2 linked regions of the Tribolium castaneum genome follow. The protein of the gene in region 1 purifies or fractionates together with the protein of each later gene. This does not show direct contact. Links are inferred from orthologs where the notes say so. Each region holds a gene or a part of one and is shown on either strand. Other genes may lie near its edges.

The links.
Region 2: the proteins of Cmtr1 (region 1) and Dhx15 purify together in Homo sapiens (co-immunoprecipitation; 3 studies listed by BioGRID and IntAct, with this or other methods). This does not show direct contact. The link is inferred for Tribolium castaneum from reciprocal best matches to the Homo sapiens genes CMTR1 and DHX15.

The regions. Positions count from the first base shown.
Region 1 is NC_087394.1:13,832,971-13,842,584, reverse strand, and holds part of Cmtr1 (cap-specific mRNA (nucleoside-2'-O-)-methyltransferase 1), read right to left. Parts: intron 4,913-9,614; coding exon 4,454-4,912; intron 4,398-4,453; coding exon 4,214-4,397; intron 4,168-4,213; coding exon 3,933-4,167; intron 1,797-3,932; coding exon 1,606-1,796; intron 1,555-1,605; coding exon 1,423-1,554; intron 1,371-1,422; coding exon 1,151-1,370; intron 1-1,150. UniProt on the Homo sapiens protein: S-adenosyl-L-methionine-dependent methyltransferase that mediates mRNA cap1 2'-O-ribose methylation to the 5'-cap structure of mRNAs.
Region 2 is NC_087397.1:4,417,171-4,427,275, forward strand, and holds Dhx15 (putative pre-mRNA-splicing factor ATP-dependent RNA helicase PRP1), read left to right. Parts: upstream 1-4,066; 5' UTR 4,067-4,233; coding exon 4,234-4,283; intron 4,284-4,336; coding exon 4,337-4,747; intron 4,748-5,084; coding exon 5,085-6,169; intron 6,170-6,906; coding exon 6,907-7,029; intron 7,030-7,085; coding exon 7,086-7,276; intron 7,277-7,327; coding exon 7,328-7,490; intron 7,491-7,536; coding exon 7,537-7,664; 3' UTR 7,665-7,963; downstream 7,964-10,105. Other genes in the region: Kv channel-interacting protein 1, read left to right, coding at 1,683-2,006.

The sequences.
Region 1 (9,614 bases):
AGTTTATAAAAGTATTTCAGCCATTCCATTTAAACGGACAAATTTTTAGATTTCATTTTCAGTTTTTGACGCCCAGTATTAGTAGAAGTGAATTTTTCTTTATAGGATTTTAGTACCAGTCAAATTCTTTGTAACTTACAATTAGAGGCACATTTTTAAAATATGAAATAAGAGTAGGAAAAAGAAATACAAATTGATGACGGACGGGACACAAAAACACATTTTTATCGTTGAACATTCGTGTTAAAATTCTGTTAATTTAAAAGGCACTAATTCCAACAACTATTTTTAAAGTAAAAGGTGGAACTTGTTGAAACTTTTAAAACCACAAAACCGAAAAATAAGGCAATGTGCTACGACTTCTGATCAGTTTATTTTTTGTTTACATATGACAGACGGGACAAAAAAAACTTGTGTGTGAAAATAGCTCTAAAAAATTTACTCGGACAGGTTTTAAATATTAATTAGAGAGTGGAAATTAAAAGTTCTTGGTTTTGTCTAACAACGTAAAAAATAAGAACATTTTATGTTTTTGATAACGGATGATACAACAAAAGTTATAAAGATCAAAAAGTAATATTATTTATCAATTTATTTACCGATTTCCATTTTCTAAACTACCAGAAACCAGAAAAATACTTTTCAAAAAATATTCAACAGTTGTAATAATAATAATAATAATAATAATAATAATAATAATAATAATAATATCCTCTGTCAAAATCCGTTCTCTCGCAAAATACATTAAATATAAACCGAATCGTGTAGCTTGAAAGAGACTTAATATTACTAAAATCATTTTTGAATTTTGGGGTCAGGTTACATTTTTCCTGGAAAGGCTGATTTATAAATGTTGACCATTATTTTTGTTAAATAATGTCTTAAATCAAATAAATTTTGTAAGATGGGATAAAGTTTCTATGCACCCTAAATAATATGCATAGTTATTGCATGTTGGATTAATATTAAAATTAATATTTGTTGTAAGGAATTACCGAAAAATTCTGAAAAATTATGCTCACTTCTGGATGATAATTCGTTTTTGAGATAAAATAGAAAATACTTTTAACAGGGGCACCTTGTATACTAATTCAAAATATTACAAAAAAAATGAAGAAGTTTTAAAATTCATCTAGAGAGTTAAAATTACCTTTCGTCAAATTTTAGATCAGTCAAGTAGAGGTCTCCCAATCGCAATGCGTCTATTACGTGTAAACTATACTTATATCCAACTTTTCCAACTGATTCTTCCATGTAACATTTTTCCTTTACCAATTCTCCATACAGTAAGGTCCCTCGAACCAGTTGCAAATTTTTCACTCTCACCCATTTATTACCCTGCATTCGATAGACTCGCGATAATCCCACCCCTATAATTAACTCGTATGTTAACCGGGGATTAATAAACCTAACCATTAATACCTGCATAAAAGTTGCAAATGTTTGTGGCTCTTTTACATTGCATTAGAGCGTAATGCCAGTCATTTAAGTCATCCACAACCGTTTGTAATTGTTCAATTGAGTATATCTCACGTGGTTGCACCAAAAGTAATTCTGGTAAAAATAATATTAAAGAAAAAAATTAAAATTAAAAAAATGACACACCTCTATTTTCGACTGTTTCGTCAAGTAGGTTCTCCGTTGTGTACTTGGGGAGAGGTATTTTAGGTTTGTCTGGAATTTTCCAATAATCTAGACACTGTCTTCTCAGTTCTTCTTGTCGGTACTCTGTCAACAAAGGGTTTCTACAAAAAGCGGCAAGTTTTTGTAGACTTATCGTTTGGTTTTTGGCTATTCTGCAAAAGTAGTGTTAAAGAATCAAAATACTGAACCAAAAGTAACGCACAAAATTCATATCTTGGTTATGAGTAATTTAAAAAAAAATCCTCGAACAAGTCGATTTTTTTTACATTCACTTCTAACGTTATGATTACGGTACTAAGTATAAACACAGGTATAAAAAAATTAAAAACGAAGAAAGTAAAATAAAAAAGTTGTAAGAGTTATTAAGAGTATTACACAAAGAGCGTAATTTTTTCGTTCTTGCTTTATATTATAAAGATATGAAGGTTTTTTTGTTAATGTTTTGAGTTTAGACATCATATTAAATGTTTTCATGCAATTTTTCCAAAAACCAATATAAAAAATAATTGCCGCTTATACAGGGTGTCCGTTTTTCGAGCTCAGTTATTACAAGAGATACGAGGTCGGTTAAATTATGGCAAAGTGGCACATTTCTACGCTGAACCATTATCTGAAAGAAAATTTGATGTGCCATTTTGAAATATTGAGAAAAATAAATAATTTGTATGTAATTTTCGTTTTTATTTTTTAAGCGAAAACCACAAGAACTACACGCTTTTAAGTAGGACATTCTTTAGGCACATTTTTACAAGAATTTTAAATCTGTCATTATCTTTTCCAAGGAGTTTTTGATGTCAGAGGTACAACACTCAAATTTGGTTTTTCTTATGGACGCCATATTTAATATTTGTGTTTTTGAAAAGTCTTTTTGTTTGTGATTACAATGATGTATCACCATGATATGATCGAATCTTATATGCTGATTAGAATTAAGAAAAAAGCGTTTTTGCAAAGAAGTGCTTTGGAAAGAACGTCAAAAATGTTGTCTAGCAAACTAAATAACTAAAAAGTCTTTTAAATACGTAAGCTTGGCAGAAAAATGAACCTTCCAGATCCAAATTCAATTACACCTCCAAAATCTAGTTTGTTTAAAAACAAAATCTTGGACGTTTTTCCAAAGCACTCTTCGCAAAAATGCTTTTTTCTCCATTTTGATCAACGTTTACAATGTGATACATCGTTGTAACCAAGAATAAAAACACTTTTCAAAAATACAAAAAGCGAATATGGGTTCTATAAAAAAAACAAAGTTGAGTGTAGTAACTCTGACATCAAGATCGCTTTGAAAAATACGATGACGGTTTCAGATTTTTTGTAAAAAAGTACCTGAAGAACGTCTTAGTTAAAAACGTCTAGTTCTTTTCATTTTCACTTGAAAAAATAAAAACGAAAATTACAAGTTTCCGTTTTTTCCAATAATTCAAAATTTAAAAATGACACATCAAATTTTCTTGCAGATGATTGTTCAGCATAAACATGCGCAACTTTGCCCTAATTCAATCGACCTCGTATCTCTTATAATAACGGAGATCCCCATGGTGGAACTCAGAAAACGGACCCCTTGTATACAATAAAATCACCTACCGTTTTTCTAGCAGCGTTTGTGGGATGAGAATAAAACATCCAATATATAGAGGGACTAAAGTGCAGCATTTAATCCCGCGAGTGGAATTTGTTAAAGGGCAACAACCATTTAAGGTATTTAGGCACTTTGATCCCGAGGTAAATACGCTATTTTTTGCACTTCCGAGACTAAAATAGTTACTTTACGAAGTTTCTGTCTACAGAAACTAAAGTGGGTCATTTATTCCACAGGGAATAAATGAACTCTCAGGGGGTTCAGTTCATAATGAATTCCTAAGGACCTACTTTTTGTTCACTGTTTTAGATAAGACACATTTTTTTGGTAGAAGAGAAAAATATCAAATGAAATTAAAAAATAAAAAAATATTTTTTGCACTTTCGGGACTAAAGTAGGTCATTTATTCCAGAGGGAATAAATAAACTCTCTAGGGGGTTCAGTTCATAATTAATTCCTAGGGAATAAATGACCCACTTTAGCCCCAAAAGTGCAAAAAAATATTATTTAATTTTTAATTTCATTTGAAATTTTTTCTTCTACCAAAAAGATGTGTCTTATCTAAAACAGTGAACAAAAAGTAGGTTGTCATTTAAAAAAAAAAGCGATCTGTTCAAGGATTTTTTTTTTGAAAAATGATTACTAACAAAGATATGATAAATTTTGTGCGTTACTTTTGGTTCAGTCTGCATAAATTCGAAAAACTTACCTATTATTACTATCACAAACGTACGAATAGAAATTGTGATCGCTTTTTAGGATAGATAAAGGTACGATTTCTATTACGTCCAAATTATTGTCGTTTTTCAGTTCCCACAATCTTTGAACAATTTTTTTCAAATAAATTCTTATGCTTTCAACATTTTCCCGGCCCTTATAATTACAACAAATGACGTATCGTTCCGAATTTGCAGGCCTTGACGAATTAGGTTTCAAAATGCATACTAAAATAGCCAATTAGAAACGAGCAATTTTGGAACAAAAAAATACCTTTCTCAAAACAATGATAAATTAGGTACAAAAGTCCAACACTAAAACAAGTAAAAATGTCGAATACTTTGGTCACAAAATGACCATGTTTACGCAAAATTTCCAAAGCAATCAAACACTGACAAATGTACAAACTTTTGGACAGAATTTCTTGGATATTTTCGTTCCCTTCAACGGAAAACCCCTAAAAAACGACAAGAAAAACCTTGAAAAAATGCGAGAAATATTTTCCAAACGTACGCCATCTGCCATCATGAAATGCACTCCTTTGTTCTCCGTTTCGAACAAAACCTTCTCAGAAAAATCGCTGATATTTTCAGGAGAGCAAGCATTGCCGTCACCGCTGGCTCCGTACAGTGGCAAAAAAGTGACAGGAGAGGCACAAAGTGACTCCGTTAATTTAAAATCGTTATCACCACGTAATGTGAGACCAAATCCCTTAAACATCCATTTTTTTCGCCATAAAATGTATTCGGTAAATCCCCCAGGCCCGGCACAAACGTCCGCAAAATAGTAAGGTCCGGAATCTTCATGGTGGCTGTGATTTATGTTTGTGAACATGAAATCGGTTGCAGCGTCAATGTTTGCCATTTTTAACGACGCTCGATTCATGAAAAAAACGGAACGGATTGTTTCAAAAGGGTTCGCTCGCGCACGAGCTTGGCAGAGTTCCTTAAGGTCTAGTACGTCAAATATATTCTAGAAAGAGGAGAAAATGATTCAAAACTAGATGAAGAGATAATTAACACATACACAGGGTTGCTAAAATGTTTGGATACAGCTAAATATTTTCAGAACAGTTTAACAGAGCGCCTTGAAATTTGGGGGACAGTTACAAGAGTTTAAATTCTATCACCTGAAATCTATTGCAATTTTCTATTTCTTTCATTTATTTAAAAAATACAAGACTAACATGATTTTTTAATGGCACGAAGGGTAAAATTTAATAATTTTTAAAGAGCATTTTTTTATTAATTCAATGATGTAAGAACCCACCTTTATCTTTAATAAAAGGTAAAAAAAAATTAAATTCAAACATTGTATTCTGGATTTCTGGAAAAGAAAACTTACCTTTGAAAATATTGTTATTACTCTCCGTTTCAATTGATAATAGAATTCACTTTTTTAGCGATTTCATTTCACCAAAGTTGTGTTGATTTTTCATGTCATATTTTTCTCCTTATTTGTTAAAGTTGGCAGTAACATTTTTTTCTTTGATCCTTCTTGACATTAAAAAAAATCAAGTTAGCCTTGTATCTTAATAATAGATGGAGACAGAAATTTGAAACAATAAAATTTATACAGGCTGTATCAGAAATACAGGGTGACACAGGGGTGCGTAATCGGTCTATAACTTTTTTATTATTTAAATTATTGCGATTCTGTTTTCATTATCCGATAAAGCGACTTAAAGTCCACAAACTCAAAATGTTTTTATTGTACACAGGGTGTTGTATACAGGGTAGTGAACAAAAGTTATATTTTTTTAAATGGAACACTCTATATATTTTTGCATAATTTGATTCTACGCAAGAAAATAATGTAACTTTATATAAACTGTTATGGGTCTATTTCTTTTCGTTTCGGAATTATTCAACTTTTCGTTATAGAAAAGACCAATTTTTGAAAAATCGCTGCGAAGTCGCCTATGAATATTTTTCGGTAAATTTGCAACAGAAAAACTCAGAATACCCTGTAGTCTTAGGAAATAGTCGATTTTTACTTGAAACACGGAAATAATGTACAGGTGTGCCAAAACGCAAAAAGTTGAATAACTCATTTTTTTTTAATGGAACACCATGTATTTATTTACATGTGTCGATTGCATTTTTCATAAGCTTTCTATTGATATGCGGTTTTTATAGCAAATTTACAATATTTCTTAAAGTGTTCAAAAAAATAAAAAATAAATTTTTTATTTATTTTATTCAATAATTCTTGATGAGTGAAATTCATTTATGTATCAGGTAATAATTAGATTACTTGTGTAATTAGTCACATTAGTACATGTCAAAAAATTAATTACTATTTGACTATCAGATTCTAGGCTAACAAATTTTCTTGTAATAAAATATATTTTTTTTGAACAATTTGGAAAAATATTTTAAATTTGCTATGCAAACCCTATACCGTTAGAAGGCTTATCAAAAATGCTTTCGATACATTTAATAAAATACAGGATGTTCCATTCGAAAAAAATTAGTTATTTAACTTTTTGCGTTTTGGCACACCCTGTATATTATCTGCGTGCTTTAACTAAAAGTTGTCGATTTACTAAAACTGCAAGGTATTCTGAATTTTTCTGTTGCATATTTATCGGAAATTATTCATAAGCGACTTTGCAGTGATTTTTAAAAAATTGGTCTTTTTTATAACGAAAAGTTGAATAATTCCGAAACGAAAAGAGATAGACCCATAACAGTTTACATAAAGTTACATTATTTTTTTGCGTAGAATCCAATTATGCAAAAATATATAAGGTGTTCCATTTAAAAAAAATATAACTTTGTGTTGTATACAACACCCTGTGCATAATAAAAATATTTTTAGTTTGTGGATTTTAAGTCGATCTATCGGATAATAAAAATGTCATGGCAATATTTCAAATAGCAAAAAAGTTATAGACCGATTACGCACCGCTGGGTCACCCTGTACGTGTGTTAATTTTACCACGTAATAAAACTCGTCAAACACAACAACTTTTCTATATAAAGTTTTGCAAAATTCTCATTTATAATTTTCACTGTTTTCCTCCGTTCTTTTGTGCAAACGAGCCGGTCAGTGTTTAATAATTAGTTTTTATTAGTAAATAACGAATGAGAGGTAACACAACACAACCTTGATCATAGCTTGGCCCATTTTCCCCTATCTTTCTTTCAAGACCCTCTCTCTCTCTCTCTCTCTCTCTCTACTTTTTCAAGGCAACCCCTCCCACTTCCCCCACCACTTCAAAGCAAAGTCATTATTGGACCTTAATGTTTTCAAGGTCAAGGCTCTCATATTACCCCCTTTACAAGGCCAACAACTCCCCTCTTTCCTATCATTCAGGGTCATTGAGCTAATATATAGGGTGATTCTAAATAAAACTTTTTAACATCTAATACAGCTAGAGCACAGATCTGTGGCTAGAGCTTAAGAATTTTGTATACGATCCAAGTCGACCATTCTGAGTACAACTAACTTATTTTCAAAATGGTTAAGCTTCCGGAACTACAAAAAAATTGGCGCCAAGTTTGAAATTTTAAATAGTAACCACACATTTTGATTGCATATTTGAATTCACCTTCTTAAGCTGAATAAAATTTACCCAAGTTATATCTGTTATAATTTTTGACATATGTCAATTTTTTTGTAAAAATTTTCATTTGCAAGGGTTTATCTAAGATATCACAGCCTTTGCACGCTTTGCGATAAGTGAATATTTTTTTGCATTCGATAACCGAAGGTTATTCAAAATTGTCATCTGTCCAATTCATGGATAATATTATTTTTTGAAAATGGTTATCAAAAAACTGCTATAACCCAGTTTTTTTTCAAATGAAACGACCCCATTTTCTTAACGGCAATCGAAAAAACATCGATATTTACGGTGACTTATCAATACTTCCTATACTATCTCTTACAGTTTTTGAAAAAATCACAAAAAACGGATTTTACCAAAACACACCTAAAAACGGGTCGCAAAAAGTGGCGTGATATCTCACGAGTATGACTAACCCTGAAAAAAGTTGATAACCCGACACATTTCCTTCGGTAAACATTTTAAACTTGGTTAAATCATAGCCAAGCAATGAAATACGTCAATCCAGGAAATAAACTGTAACCAAAATATCTTTGGTTTAACAGTCAACTGAAAACCGGGCGTTAGTATGATTTTTAGTAAAAATACGCCCAAAAACTATACATTCAAATTTAGAATAAGGGAGTTACCTCGGGAGTACAGGAAAGTTTGAAACGAAGAGAAAATTTGAGAACTTATTTTGTAAAATTTTGGCAAAAAATGTTCCAATTTAATTGAAGTTGTTTTTTTTTGTTTGCAATTTAATCGTGATATCTAATGTAGTTGGATTAAAAAAAATTAAAATAACCATAAAAATCATTTAATTTAAATTTGAGTTATAAATTAACTTCTTATGCAATATTTCCTCATAATGACGCAAATTTTTCTCAATTATTATTTTCAATTACAAATAAAAATGGAGAAAATACTTTTGTTTGTATTAAATTTGAAGATGTTATTTGTTTAATATTAATACCACGTGATCATTTAAATTTATAATTATACTAGGCTTTAACATTTTTTTAACTTGTGTGAAAATGTTGATTATAACAATTAATCTGAAGAGTGAAATAACAATTTCGAACGAGTTAATTAGATTGAATTTTTTCCTTCAATTGAAGCTTTTCAATCATAAACGAAGAAAACCGCCTACTCTATAATAGATATAATAAATTCAAATTATGGCATGGTATTGGCTTTAATAATAATCATTAATATTATATGCGATATTAGGTGCTTCACGTAGATACAGGGTGCTCAAAAACTGGCGCACCAGTGGTACGTTATTGAGAAGCAAGTGCAGATTACGGGAAAAATGTTGAAAAAATTCCCAAAGTCATATTTTAAAAAATCTGGAGCTATAAACTTATTGTGTTAACTTCTTTGGTTTTCATTATTTTTTTATGTTTTTATGTTTCATACCAAGTAATCGTTCCGTAACAAAACGATGAATAATTATTTTTAAATTTACTTTCACATTTTAGCAGTTTTTTTAATTTAAAAAAATTAAAATTCATCAAAAAAATCACAATGTGTAGATGTGACAACACTGGGAATTATTTCCTAGGAAACCGTTTTAAAAATAATTTATTTTTATTGATGCTCAAATTCTATTGCGATCATGACTGTTAGACAACGTTGCCACATATCATTTATCTAAAATCCGTTATTTATCAATAACTTTAATACAAAAATTTTTTTTACTATTTTTACCTTTATATGTAACCAGTTCTCTACCACACACCATTGAGTTGGTGCGCCAGTTTTTGAGCACGCTGTATAAGCCACTAATACAGACTGTTCAGAAAATAAAAAATGTTTGTTTATCAGTAAATAAATAATAAATCAATAATTCAATGTGGTGCACCCTGTGGCTGCTCCTCCAAATATCTACTGTAGTTTCAGAGTACAGATAAACAATAAGTTTTTTCAGTTTTTAGGGCTATTAGGAACTGTGATGAATAATTATGTTTCAAATCCTTTTATCCAAAATGATTAGTGCTGTGTGAGGTTTTAGGGAAACTATCACATCTCAAAGTAAGCTAAGCAACACATGAAATTCAAATTTCAAGGATGACTTAGTGAGGAACCATTTTCAAACATTTTTACATTGAGCAAATT
Region 2 (10,105 bases), on another chromosome or scaffold:
AAATACAGCTTCAGTTCGTTGCGTCTGAGATGATTAAGAAATCTGGCCTAATCACCGTGATAAGCCATTTTTATTTGTCACTAGAAGCAGAAACACTTTTGGCTGAATAGGAGCATTTGTGAATCATTAAATTCTCCCCATTGTTAAAGTTATTGGATTTTCAGGATACATTAATCACACGCTTTTATGTGTTTCAAATTGCAACAACCATTTATAATGTGCAAAGTGTAAAGTTAATATGTGGGTGTGTTAATAATTGACACACGATGTTGTGTCATGATCGAACGATGATTGCAATTGCGAAAAAAAATTTTAACATTTATTTGGCTTGAATGGCCAAAGTTACAAACTCCGCAACCTTACTCTGTAATTTTCAAAACTTTAGTTTTGTTACATTAGTTATCAGACGAAAAATCTCCACGTTTTACGTTTATGATTTCTGCAAATTTATAGCTTACCTCGGAAAATGGGTCGACTTTTTCAATTAATTTTAACTGCCACAAACACTTTTTGTGGAAGAAATCGATCCAGGAAATTAACCTCCGCATTACAATCCTACATATTAATCCGCATGCAGAAAAAACACATAAATGACGGTTACAGCTATTATATTAGCTCAGTCATGACACAATTGCACATTTTACCAATGATGGAGTCTTATTTTTGCTATAATATCTAATCTGGGGGCCACTTTGAACCAAAAAGGGTTGAGAAATAAAATTGAGATAAAATAATGTGGTTTCTTTGGACGACTCTCACTGTTTTCAGTGAGTTAGGACTAAGGAAATCACTCAGTATTTGCCGAAATTACATAAGTACGAGTAGATATTACAATATAAGTAAATCGAGAAATAAATAAATAAATATAACGCAATTAAGTATTTTATTAACTTTTTAATTTTCCTAATTTTCTTTATTATTTCCTATTATATCCATAAAATTTTTCGAAATACGTAACTTTCTAGCTAAACAATAACTAAATCACTCAGAATTCACTACAATAACTCTAGTGTAGTGTTTTTTTCATTTTCTTCTTCAACATCTCACAAAATAAGGAGGTTTCTGACTCAAAAACAATCTGAATCGTTGAGTTATTATTCGAGAAGTTGTAGCGTATGAACTTTTGAAATAAAGAAAAAATTCTTCAAAATAAAAAATTGAAATTAGAACCAACAAAGCTTTTAACATTAATACGTTATCGGTGATTTTTTTATTGTTTCCAGCGTTAAATCAGTCCCTTATTAGTAGAGGTTCATGATAAAATCAGTTGGAAACAAACGTTGAATGAGCTGAACTTCCGAGAGAATGACTGATGCTAGAGGTCTATTTTAGGGATTAGTGTTTTTGTCTGTTATAAAAATTAGAAATTACACAAGTTTTGAAAACGAACTGCAAATTGTGAATGAGAAAAGTGAGATGTTCACTATATTTTTTAAACAATAAATGACCGAAAACATTGTGTGATGAATACGAAAGCTAAAGTGGTTTTATTTACTTTGCTTTGGGAGCAGCAAGGGGTTAAACGCGTCAGATTAAACCGAAATGATGGAATAGTATCGGGCGTCAGAAAAAATGCAAATTCCTTTAATGTATTCGTTTGAATTTATGATTGTTCCATGGCGTGGTTGTAATCTGAATGCATAACGATCGCAGTGGATTTTCTAAGCCGGTGTTTCCCCCAGGACCTGCTGATAACCTTATCGACGTTGCTCCGCGGTTCGGTGTACGAGCGCCTCCGATGGACCTTCAAACTGTATGACGTGAACGGTGACGGCTGCATCAGCCGCGGCGAACTGTCCGAAATCGTGGTGGCGGTGCACGAACTCATGGGGCGGCGCGCCCACCAGGTGGAGGACGACCGCAAGGCCCGCGAGCAAATCGACCGAGTCTTCCGGAAGCTGGACCTCAACCAGGACGGCGTCATCACCATCGAGGAGTTCATGGAATCGTGCCTCAAAGACGATGTGATCACTAGGTCTCTGCAGATGTTCGACTCAGTGCTGTGATGACCGGACGGCGAAAAGTGACCTGGTGGCAGGAGAGATGCGCCAGCCTGGCTGGGACACGCGCGGCCTTTCTGCGGTTGCTCGGACGGGAACACGGCGCCGCAGTCTTAGCATCGTCCATCCGTACACTTCAACAACTTTGCGTTCTTTCGCCCACTCCAGACCCAAAAAGCCCAAAAAATTACACGAAAAACTGAAGCGATTCCGTATTTGGACAATCAGAAGCTTTCGCAGAAGATTCAGAAAATTTTGTTTGCAATTTTCCAAAATGAACAGGTTTTTGCGTCTGGAGGGGCGAAAAGCACACTTTACGAGTTCCATTTTTGTAACGACGAGGAGTCAAAACAGTCTTATGCTTGACCATCGGCTGATTAGCTCTTAGTTAGCTTTGTATGTTTTTTAAGGAAATTTACTCTTACTGTAATATTTTAAGGGGTGAACCTGGAGACAATTCCTGCATATATTTTGAAAACCTTGCTTATGATTTGTCAATTAGAGCTAATATTACGAATAAAACTTAGATAAAGAAGATGTTGAATTGAGATTATTATGTAGCAATTAATCCAGGCCAAACCTAAAGTGACTGTCAGTTGTGAATGTGACTGTAATTAGGTACGTAACGAGCCTATGATTGAAATAATTTTGATCTGAAGTTGTTTCGATCGTATAATACCCCAATCAACAGACCGGGTCTGTCCGCCTAATTTAAAGTGCTAAGAGAATAAAATCGTGGGTCTACATGCACAGGTGTCTGATTCTCTTCCTGAATTTATTTAATTCTGAAGTGCCTCTTTGCCTTTTCTTTATGAATTAATAAACTGTAAGACGTAAATGTAAATTTTAACATAATTTACTCCCAAACGACAAATATTTTTGATAAAAGAACGTCACATTATTATTGGCTTTTGAGAAATAGTACAAAAAACTTGAAATTATTTTTGTGTCAGCGTACACGAACCACAAAATTGTAACGAAATTTTACACCCTTTATTACACACGCGGTCTCGTAAATTTATTGTAAAAGTGAATATTCGAAAATCTGGAAGTACTTCAGAATGATATTCGATTTTTCCCGTAGTTCAGTAACACTGCACAAGTTCAAAGCACGTGTGTGTTTGAACTTGTGAGTAAGGTACAAGAATTGTAAATTTATCCGTATTTACATCAGTTTAGCTTAAGATCCTTGTTCTTCCTTAAGTGGTTAAAGTGAATAGACTTCATCGAATTACTGTTTAAAATAGAAACTGTTGGACTAAAATTTCGTTTTGATCGTTGTAGATATTAGGAGATAAGTTCGGCTTTTATTTAGTTTAGTTAAATAAATATCTAGGAAATGTTAATCAAAATATACGATTATTATATGATATAGTGAAATATATCGTAACAGTAGATGTCTTAAAATCGATTTCTTTCTGTTATCTGTTATTGCGTTCAGTCAGCAAAAGAGCAATGTCCGTAAATTACCAAATATGCAATACATCACATGCATATCGAGAACTACAATCACAAGAGCCAACCATCACTACTGATTTGCCAACAAAATGAGCTTTTTAAATGATACGGTTAAATGTGGTAATAGACTTAAGATTTCTTAAACTGTATTAATTTTTTACTATTCTTTGTATAACAAGATGGCCAGACGGCACTAACACACTTCATAAACATGTAACTGTGTAAAATTTTAATTAAAAAGTGACGATAGGATTAACAAATTTCATACGTGCTGTACTATAAATGTATTAATTAATTAAAATATATTTTAAATTCAGGGCACAATTAATTACATTACTACTATTTTCGCATCAGAGGCATGTCCCATAAAACAACTTATGCGAAAAATTTTACATGAAGTCGGTTTAAAAAGTTGCAATTAATATGTTTCTCCCCAGAATCAGCAATATTCGCGCAGTACACATAATTTTGACTGACTAAAAACCAAATTATATTATTGTTATAAAGTTTAATTAATAAATTGTTATACGGTGTACAATAATTTCGTGGTTTCATTTTTCCCCTTAATTTTCCAAAAAATTTAAACTCCCGCTTTCGGTCGCCATGCAAATAAACGTCAATAAAACGGCAGCGCTCTGCTCTATCGACCGTGCAAAGTTGCATGGAGTCGTGGTCGTAGTTTTATTTCCAAACAAACTTTAATGCAATTTATTTTTATTTGTTAACAAGTAGACAATTCGAGAGCTTGTTACTATTAGCCGTAGTCTATCTAACAATGTCTAAAAGGAGAATCGAAGTGTTGGATCCGTTTATAAAGAAGAAAAGGTGAGTAACCACAAATGTCACTCAGCCACATTTTCCGCCTCGTGATATTTCAGGGAAGAACGTGGGATTAGCACTGCAGTAACGAACACCCCGCAAGTAACCAACGCCTCAATCAACCCGCACACCGGTTTGCCGTACACCAATAAGTACCATGAGTTGTATCGCAAACGCATCACGCTTCCTGTCTTTGAATACCGCAACGATTTCATGCGTTTGCTCGCCGAAAACCAGTGCATTGTGCTGGTTGGCGAGACAGGGTCGGGGAAAACGACGCAAATTCCACAGTGGTGCGTTGAATTCGCCAGGTCGGTCGGGAAAAAGGGGGTGTGCTGCACCCAGCCCAGGAGGGTGGCTGCCATGTCTGTGGCCCAGAGAGTGTCAGAGGAAATGGACGTCGCCTTGGGGCAAGAGGTGGGCTACAGCATTCGGTTCGAGGACTGCTCGTCGGCCAAAACTATCCTCAAGTAAGAGGGGCTATAAATATTTTCCAGAAACTCTTGTCTTCTTCCCCAATTATGATTATTCCTTGTGAAAAACTAGTTTTTTCCTCGCCGAATTCTATTAAACCTTGTTTTCTGAGGTTTTATTATTTTCAAAATACTCTTTTTCTCTTTTGGACTTAAATTATTGTTTTTTTTTTGAGAAATTTTAATGAATCAGACAGAAAAGTCAGTAAATTGGGTTTGAAATAAAAAAAAAATTGTCGTTTTCGAGCTTTTTATTACGTTTATCATATATTTACAAAAGCAGTTAAGTTAAATTAAGTTAAAGCATAAAAATTACAACTGTGTGATTTAATAGGTACATGACCGACGGTATGTTGCTCCGTGAGGGCATGAGCGACCCAATGCTGGACGCCTACCAGTGCATTTTGCTCGACGAAGCCCACGAGCGCACCCTTGCCACCGACATTCTGATGGGTGTTTTAAAAGAAGTTATTAAACAACGCTCCGACTTGAAATTAGTTATTATGTCGGCGACTCTAGACGCTGGCAAATTCCAGCAATATTTCGATAACGCTCCCTTAATGAACGTCCCCGGTCGTACGCATCCAGTAGAAATTTTCTATACTCCCGAACCGGAACGCGATTATCTCGAAGCCGCCATCCGTACCGTCATCCAAATCCACATGTGTGAGGAAATAGCCGGCGATATTCTCCTATTTTTGACCGGTCAGGAGGAAATCGAAGTTGCTTGCAAACGAATCAAACGCGAAATTGATAATCTGGGCCCCGAAGTGGGCGAACTAAAATGTATCCCGTTGTATTCGACGCTGCCTCCGAATTTGCAGCAACGTATTTTCGAGGAGGCGCCCCCTAATAAGGCCAATGGGGCGATCGGACGCAAAGTTGTCGTCTCGACCAACATTGCGGAGACTTCCTTGACTATAGACGGTGTCGTGTTTGTGATAGATCCCGGATTTGCGAAACAAAAAGTCTACAATCCTCGAATTCGTGTCGAGTCGTTATTGGTCTCGCCGATTAGTAAAGCCTCAGCACAGCAGCGTGCCGGAAGAGCTGGAAGGACTCGGCCGGGGAAATGTTTCCGACTTTACACCGAAAAAGCATACAAGAACGAAATGCAAGACAACACCTATCCAGAAATTTTACGATCGAATTTGGGTTCGGTCGTTTTACAATTGAAGAAACTGGGAATTGATGATTTGGTTCATTTTGACTTCATGGATCCACCGGCGCCTGAAACCTTGATGAGGGCCTTGGAATTGTTGAATTATTTGGCGGCGTTGGATGATGATGGAAATCTCACCGATTTGGGGGCGGTTATGGCCGAGTTTCCGCTCGATCCACAATTGGCGAAAATGCTCATTGCCAGCTGCAACCACAACTGTTCCAATGAGATACTGTCCATTACGGCGATGTTGTCAGGTATTTATTTTATTAACGTTTTTCTGAAGCAGGCCCTCAGCCCTTGCTTTAAACGTCGATTTGGTTATTTATTCCGATTAGACTCATTCAAAATAATTTTTTCATTTTCACTGTTTTGGTTTATTTAATTGGCAGCGTTGAATGTACTTTCACTACTTGCCACATAACAAACCTCAAAAGAATTAAAGGTTCCCATTTTTAAACGATTTTACCACAGTATTTATGCTTGGAGACTAATAAGTAATAAATTATATTTTTGATTTTGTGGTAGTTGATGCCGAATAATAGTCGGAGCAAAAAACCATTATCGTTATTAATGAACTAAATTTTTTGTTGAATATACGACTCAGCCAATTTCCGAAACCTCCGTAATCAATAATTCAAACGCTTGTGCAAAACAATATTTTTTAAAATGTTTATTAGATGCATCTTAATGTTGATTTTGTTTAATGAAGAATGAAAGTGGTTTGTTGTCCATGAATTTTACTTTATCAACTGCTACCTGTTTATTGGTCTGTTGTCACGCGGGTTCGTGTTATTCGGAACGATTTTCGAGCAAAACCGCTAGTAATATAGCTAATAAATGCTTGAAATAACAGACATTGAACAGAACAGAACACCACAATGTTGTGGTTTGTTTTGCTCGAGTCGTTCTGACTAAGGTAGCTCTGTAGGAAACGCTTGAGAGCGCAACTATATTGGTTGGATACGGGCAACTGCCCTGCTCCAATGTTTAGTCCCACAGTGCTTCATCCGACCAAATGAGGCGAAGAAAGCGGCCGACGATGCAAAAATGAGATTCGCGCATATTGACGGGGACCATTTGACGCTGCTCAATGTCTACCATGCTTTCAAACAAAGTAAGTTTTTGCGAGTTTTACCAAGTAATTGTGTTTGACTGGTGTGTTTGGGTTAGGTATGGAAGATCCACAATGGTGCTATGATAACTTTGTCAATTACCGTTCCTTGAAATCTGCCGATAACGTGAGACAACAGTTGTCAAGAATTATGGACCGGTTTAATCTCAAGCGAACTTCGACAGATTTCACCAGCAAGGATTATTATATTAATATAAGGAAGGCTTTAGTTAACGGGTTTTTCATGCAGGTAATAATAAATTTCTTAGTGATGATTGTAGTACATTGTTTTGAACTCGAGGTGGCGCATTTGGAAAGAACCGGTCACTACCTTACTATCAAGGACAACCAAAATGTTCAACTACACCCGTCCACATGTTTGGATCACAAACCGGAGTGGGTTATTTACAATGAGTTCGTTTTGACCACGAAAAATTACATCAGGACCGTGACAGATATTAAACGTGAGTAGTCCTTTCCTTTTGTGTTTCCCTAACTTTGTATTTTTAGCGGACTGGCTCATTAAAATAGCCCCCCAGTATTACGATCTTCAAAATTTCCCACAATGTGAAGCTAAACGTCAACTGGAAATAATACAAAATCGTCTAGATTCTAAACAATACCAACACGGTTTTTAGTTTTGTTTAAAAATGCCTATGTTATTGCAATTTGGTGTGTATTTGCGTTTTACTTAGTCTTCATTCCACGAAAATAAACTGATGTTCAATAATAATTTATTCACTATTATATGTATATTTGGATAAATCTATAAACTGGCTTGTGTTAATATTCTAGCGTTGATGTTACATTTTGCTACAGCATTCTACGTTTCGAAAATATATGTATAAATGTTTAGCGATAAAATTGAAGGTTTGAGCTCAGAAATTGTACTTTATAAGTATGTTATTGGCACCAATAAAGAGTCGATATTTTTTAAGTCTTCACAAGAAGTGATTTTTATCCTTCACCTTTTTACAACTTCCTCTCCTAGATTTTCCTCTGAAAAACATTAGAAAAATTTATCCAGTTTTGTGCGTTTCTGTCGATATCCTGTTCTGCGAGTGTGCTTTTCTTGTCCTACACACGTCCACGTGACACCTAACCCAGGTATCCCGAACTGATATAGCCAAATCGAGCCCTCACTGAAATAGGTTTTACTGATGAAGCGGATAGATGGCCTTAGTGTTTTACGGGAAAAAGAAATCCTATTGGCGGATTTAAAATTTCAGATTATTGAAGAAAAACGTGGTACCGATGCGCGGCTGACAAGTAAAAATTTCACAAACGTCAACAAAATTTGAGTTTTATGAAATTATTGGTTTGTGAATTAAATAAATACGACACAGCAATTAAATACACCTACCTTCATATCGCTTCCACGTTGGCTACCATTTGTAGCATTAAAAAAAATAATAATAAAAATGAAACCAAAAAAAATGTTTATTTGCATTAAATTTTGAGCAAACCACTTTCATTCATTGAAATTAAAGACAAAATTACGTGGCAGTAAATTATTTGAGTGTTTTATTTTATTTATAGTTACTGTATTTAAAATGTGTCACTCAAAATATCACTTTTCAACACCGCATTTAAAGATTTTAATTGCATTTAAGTTTTATGAAATTATTGGTTTGTGAAATAAATAAATACGACACAGCAATAAAATACACCTACCTTCATATCGCTTCCACGTTGGCTACCGTTTGTAGCATTAAAAAAATAATAATAAAAATGAAACCAAAAAAAAATGTTTATTTGCATTAAATTTTGAGCAAGCCACTTTCATTCATTGAAATTAAAGACAAAATTACGTGGCAGTAAATTATTTTAGTGTTTTATTTTATTTATAGTTACTGTATTTAAAATGTGTCACTCAAAATATCACTTTTCAACACCGCATTTAAAGATTTTAACTGCAATTAAGTTTTATGAAATTATTGGTTTGTGAAATAAATAAATACGACACAGCAATAAAATACACCTACCTTCATATCGCTTCCACGTTGGCTACCGTTTGTAGCATTAAAAAAAATTAAAAACAACACCAATAAAAAATCTTTATTTGCATGAAAATTACAACAAGCGACATAATTTTACGGCTGTAAAAAACAATCAACAATGTTATATTTAAGGATTGCTCTAATTGGTCAAATTAGTCAATAACTAATTTGTCCGGCAAGAACCACGTGGAGGTTTAGAGCATTCTTGCCAGGAAAAAAGGATATAAGGATGAGGTAAACAATGATTATTTCAAATGAAGGGAATAAAGGAATTATTGGTTTGTGAAATGAAAAAATAGTACACAAAAATCAAAGCTTTTTCACTTGGCGTTAAATAAATGCTCTTACCTTTTGTACTGCATCTGCTACCATTTGTAGCAAAACCTAAAAAATAAATTAAAAACATAACCAACAAAAAAATTAATTTGTAGGAAAGTTACAACAAGCGACTTTAATAAATATTATACAGAATAAAGGATACACAATACGGTAAATATATATGGCACAGAAGCTATTAAATCAACACATCACAAGATAAAACGCAAAAAAATGCACCTACCTTCATATGGCTTCTGCGTTGGCTACTGTTTGTAGCAAGACATTTAAAAAATTAAAACAACACCAATAAAAATCTTTATTTGCATTAAAGTTACAACAAGCAACGTTTGTCAATATTAAACAAAATAAAAAATTCACAATACCTTTCAATTTGTGGCAATTCAAATTCAAATCAAATTCAATACCTCAGTAAATAAATGCACTTACCTTCATATCGCTTCCACGTTGGCTACCGTTTGTAGCATTAAAAAAATAATAATAAAAATGAAACCAAAAAAAATGTTTATTTGCATTAAATTTTGAGCAAACCACTTTCATTCATTGAAATTAAAGACAAAATTACGTGGCAGTAAATTATTTGAGTGTTTTATTTTATTTATAGTTACTGTATTTAAAATGTGTCACTCAAAATATCACTTTTCAACACCGCATTTAAAGATTTTAATTGCATTTAAGTTTTATGAAATTATTGGTTTGTGAAATAAATAAATACGACACAGCAATAAAATACACCTACCTTC